2 linked regions of the Kluyveromyces lactis genome follow. The protein of the gene in region 2 binds, or shares a complex with, the protein of the main gene of each other region. Links are inferred from orthologs where the notes say so. Each region holds a gene or a part of one and is shown on either strand. Other genes may lie near its edges. The genes, in order: RPA12 and RPA34.

Region 1 (2,497 bases), on a different chromosome or scaffold from region 2:
ATCGGATGAACACCTTTCTCGATCAAATCTAACGCTTGATCCAACAAGGCACAAGCTAGTACGACAACACCGGTGGTACCATCACCAATTTCATCGTCCTGCGACCTGGACAATTGGACCAACAACTTGGCGATTTCGTTATCCAATTCCATTCTGGAAAGAATGGTGGCACCATCGTTAGTGATGGTAATCTCGCCATCTGGCGAGATTAAGATCTTATCCAACCCACGAGGACCCAAAGAGGTCTTAATGATCGAAGCCACGGATCTAGAAGCTAGGATATGTGATTTCTTAGCATCGATCCCATGCTGTCTTTTCTTGTTACCTTGGTCTCTAACGATGATAAATGGTCTACCCATTTCATCTTGAGCGACAATTGCGTTGGAAAGATCGGGCATAGGCACACTCATTTTGAAACGATATCGATACGGTGTGAATTGCTGGAGTTGGGGCACCGTTCAGAAGTGATACGTCTCATTGAAAACCAACTTCCAATGTGTTTGAAGATTACATACATATTTGATGGCGCTGGACAATCTGTAATAATTCCATATTACAGAATTGGAAAAAAAATACAGGGCCGGGTAACAACTTATTATTATTTAACTCTCTCTCTCTATTATATTATGTACACACATATATGTATATATGGGGCGGGCAGAACAGTGCTCAGTTATTCGTTCTGAATCTATATCCACATGCGGTGCATGTGTAGAACACCGTGGCACCTTCATCTGCAGATCTAAGCTGTAGAGTGTGGTAATGCATCTTATCGTTAGCACATTTCGGACATTTTTCGTTGATGATAGCACCATCTTTCAATTCGTTCTTGGCAATAGACGTCTTAACTAACGATTTCTTGGATCTGATTTTGGATGGGAACGATTTATCGTTTGTTGAGGTTACCACTTTCAAGTTTTGGAATTTTGACGAATTGTAAGAGGCATTGCATTGGTTACATCTGATCTTGCCTTGACTGGACTCTTGTCCATCGAGTAGATCACCACACTCGAGACAAAATATGAGAGAACCGACAACAGACATGCAAAAGTGTTTCTTTGGAGTATTGGTACTTAGCTGAGGAGGAAGCGGGGGAGGAAGCGGGGGACGGGGGGGGAGTAATGCAAGGCAAGTCATCTGATACCATCTCATCTCATCTCATCTTAGGCTATTCAATTTTCAATAAAGGCTTCTTTAGTTTTTCATTCGAGAAGAGTGGAAAAGAAATGAGACGTTGTTACCCGGACATTACCCGGACTACGTAGTAGTCCGGGTAATCCAAGAAGTCCGGATATACCACGAGGTGTTACCCGGACTGAACGTCCGGGTAACACCTCTTCTAATTCCCGACATTTTTCTTTCTGTCCGACAGCTCACTCACTATTCTTACATACAATCCTCATGATTTTTTACCACCTTCTCCTTGCCTACTTGCACGGCACTCTCTTTTTTCGTGCCTCTTAATCATTGCACCCTTTCCCCAATTAGGAAAATAACCCTTTGAGTGCCAATATCGGTGTTCTAGACCCACTACATGGATTCTCCATCTATCTGATAACGAAAAACAAAAAAAAAAAAAAAAAAAAAAAAAGATTCAAAGATAAGGTCTAGGCCCTAAAAAAGCCATTATCCGTGACGTAACACGATAACAATGCAATAACTCCAATTTATCCGTTCCGCAGAGCAAGTGTTTGCACATAAACACTGCTCTATTAGTTTCTTCTTATCGTAACAGCCGGTCCCCGCCGTATTTGGTTTGCACGACCTTCCGTCTGTGCCGGGTAACTTGATTGATCCTCAATAAGATCATCTAATTGATCGGAATGGTGATTTCAAATTTCAGGTTTGCACGACCTTCCGTCTGTGCCGGGTAACTTGATTGATCCTCAATAAGATCATCTAATTGATCGGAATGGTGATTTCAAATTTCAGAATTGCTTTTTGTTGCCTGCTTGTCATGTCAATTGCCTTGCCATCTTTTTCCACAATACCATTGATTTGACATTGATTTGACATTCATAAAATAATAATACTGCCTCTCCATACATAACTATATCTTATATATATATATATATATATATAAGATAAAAGAAACAGTCAGTGAACGGTGATTTTTGATTTTGGCGGTGCCCTTCTCTCGAACGTCTGGTAAAGTAATATAGCGACGACGAGAAAAGGACCCAGGTTTTTTAGTAGTACAGTCAAAAATGCTAGATCATAGAGGCAGGAACGTAGTATGGTTCTTGGCTCTTGCTGCAGTGCTGGTCACGTTGTACTCTTCGTTCTTGTTGTTTTGGACAGACGAAGCAGGGCTTACTGGCGGCTAGGAGAGGTTTAAGCAACAGGATCAGAATGAGAAGCAGCAGCAGCAGCAAGCTGCTGCTGCTGCTGCTGGTTCTGGTTCTGGTTCTGGTTCTGGTGCGAAATCCGATTCTTCAGAATCGGATTTCAGTGCTATTTTGAATTTCGATGGTAGTAAGAGTGCGCAGTACCAACG
Region 2 (2,665 bases):
TCCCCGGCCTTGGATATATTGAAAGACTTGAATGAATTGAAAAATCAGTTCAAAAAGATCAAACAAAGCAATGCCCCCATCTCCAACTGGCAAGAAGTCACCGAGTGGACGCCTAGACCATTTGGCGTTTTGTAATTAGTATAATTAAGCCTTTTAGATACATAAGACAAAGCAAGAAAGATTGACAGTTCTACAGGTTCTGCGATGATAACAGGATTGAAAATGGAAATGGATAATAACATATAAAAAGATCAGACATCCTAGGAAGGTCTCAATAAAGAGCGGTCACTGAAGAGTACTAACGATGGGTTCGTAGGCGTACTCCTACCGTGGAAACTGCGAATGTAAAGGAACCAATTTTCATCATATAAAAAAATGTTAAAATCCATAACGCACAATCATGTTCTTAGCTAAAAAGAAGAAGTGAAACGTTTTGAAGAAATAAATGCAACAGAAGATACGACGATGGATCTTGTTTCACTGTTACTTTGACCTTAAGAAAACTAAAAAGAGAAAACTCAGATGATCTAAATTGTACATGTCAAAGCATGTACTGGCTTAAAAAGTCGTTGCCCCGTAAGACAACAACATGGTAGACTCCCATATCGTCATGGTCGATATCGGACTGGGAAAGAAGTGTAGACCGTTTTCATCATCGTTAAATGTTTTGAAGTTCTTTCGTAAGGTATGAAGTAATAATGAATCCCACGTATATGCAAACTTTTACGTTTATTTCTTCATGGAAAAGGTCTCTTTTCCAAGCGTAACATAGACGAATCAGTGTTTCACGGCTGTGAAACACTGCTCCATCAAGGATACTATAAAGCTCACTTGCCAACAGCAAGTGAGGCTAGAGAACAACCTACAGAACTTTTCAATACCTAACCTGGATAAATGGTTTGATGAGTTTAACATGTCTAGTTTGTTTCTCATTACCAGCCTTTTTATATTCTTCGTGTCGAAGAAGCATGGAAAAAATTTTTGGAATAATTGCGTCGTTCGACATGATAATACAGTAAACCAAGTACTTAGGGCATCGATGTCATACCATTCAACGGGAATCATAGTATTAGTGATCCAATAAATGTTGCTCGAAGGCTGTTCAAGTCGGACATACCATTTCTCGATGGTTTGTGATGAACTGGAACAGATTTCATGAATACGATAGTTTGTTCCACGTGTTAACCACGTGCATTTTCCCGGGTAACGTCTAAAAAGAAAGAAAAGTCTTTCCCAAGATGAAAAAATTCGGTTTAAGCTCATCTCATCTCATTGCAGATTCAAATAGACACACAGAGGCAGATAAGTGAGGTTCTGTGTGGTCCTAGGGTTCCAATTACAGTTTAACTAGTTCAGGTGAGTTTTTGTTACACCCTTCCCTGTAATATTATTCCACTCGCAAAACGTTATAAGAAATATCTCAAACAATGGCCAAGGTCGACAAAACTCTTTCAAAGGAATACATCAGTGATAGCGACAGCGATAATGATGGATCATCAGAAACTGTAACGGACGTTTTCGTTCCACCTGAAAACTATAAGAAATGTACACATTTGAAATCATTCGTGAAGCCTAAGAACTTGAAGCAAAAAGAACTTTGGCTTATCAAACTTCCTAAATCTTTAGATGTCTCTAAGCTTTCGAAATTACCTATTGATTTCACAGCGGAGTCGGAAACTGGCATCGAACAAAAAGGTAAACATTTCTCTGTGAAGGAGGAAATCCAACAAGAAAATTCCACTTCTGGTGCATCTTCTTCTTCTGAATTGACATTATTGACTCCTGTAGATAAGACAAAGTTGACCGTCGATTCATCTGCATCAAGATCATTTGATAAGATCTTTACCATAAGCGAAACTGCAAAGATTCCAAGCATTGATTATTCTAAGGTAAGAGTGGATAGAAAGGATGTGTTGAAGGTTAAGGGTCTCAAGACTAGACATTTCGCAACTGGGTATTACGAGGATAAAGATTTGAAGAAAGTTAGCAAAAAAAAGAGAAAGCACGACTAGAGCACTCGTTCTGGTCTTTCTGTATATTATTTATATATAACGCACTGGTCATATTTTAATTTGGGTTATATGTAGAATACGTTCATTATAAAAAGTAGGTATCTTCATACCCTATCGGAATAATCTCTCAATATACCAGCCATATGTGTATTGGTAACTTTACCCTTTCTTGATCTACGTTTCTTGACCTCTTTCCTTGTGGTTTGCTCATTCTTGATCGTAGCAGGATCCACACTAGCAGGCTTGAGACCCAAATCTTGTAGTTTTCTTGGTAATTCACTACGCTGAGGTAGCTTACAAGCTTCCCACATCGTAACGAACTCTTCATCGATTTGCCTTGATGGACCAGCATGGTTATACCAGACAAACCTTGGAGAATTATCCTTCTTTGTCCGAAGAACAAGGATTCTGTTCTTTGCTTCTAACTCGTCGATTGTATCAAAACATTGTGGCCAACCATCTTTTAACTCTTTACATGATATACCCTTGAACGTCGCCTGTGATCTTAATAGTTGTAGCAATTCCTCCGCAGAATGCACATCGTAAATGGATACGTACTGTAAAGTGTTCCTCTTTGGGTCAAACTTGAATTTTTGTAACCCCTTTAACATCGGAATCACATTATTATCCTTAGGTAACGAAAGATATGATTC

What was found.
Region 1: RPA34 (region 2) and RPA12 share a complex: the UniProt entries of both Saccharomyces cerevisiae proteins name them as parts of the RNA polymerase I (Pol I) complex. The link is inferred for Kluyveromyces lactis from reciprocal best matches to the Saccharomyces cerevisiae genes RPA34 and RPA12.

Annotation. Positions count from the first base shown.
Region 1 is NC_006038.1:1,214,116-1,216,612, reverse strand, and holds RPA12 (DNA-directed RNA polymerase I core subunit RPA12), read right to left. Parts: upstream 1,153-2,497; coding exon 670-1,152; downstream 1-669. Other genes in the region: chaperonin-containing T-complex subunit CCT5, read right to left, coding at 1-410. UniProt on the Saccharomyces cerevisiae protein: DNA-dependent RNA polymerases catalyze the transcription of DNA into RNA using the four ribonucleoside triphosphates as substrates. Component of RNA polymerase I (Pol I) which synthesizes ribosomal RNA precursors.
Region 2 is NC_006037.1:552,750-555,414, reverse strand, and holds RPA34 (DNA-directed RNA polymerase I subunit RPA34), read left to right. Parts: upstream 1-1,427; coding exon 1,428-2,012; downstream 2,013-2,665. Other genes in the region: rRNA-processing protein LAS1, read left to right, coding at 1-135; transcription factor TFIIE subunit TFA2, read right to left, coding at 2,117-2,665. UniProt on the Saccharomyces cerevisiae protein: DNA-dependent RNA polymerases catalyze the transcription of DNA into RNA using the four ribonucleoside triphosphates as substrates. Component of RNA polymerase I (Pol I) which synthesizes ribosomal RNA precursors.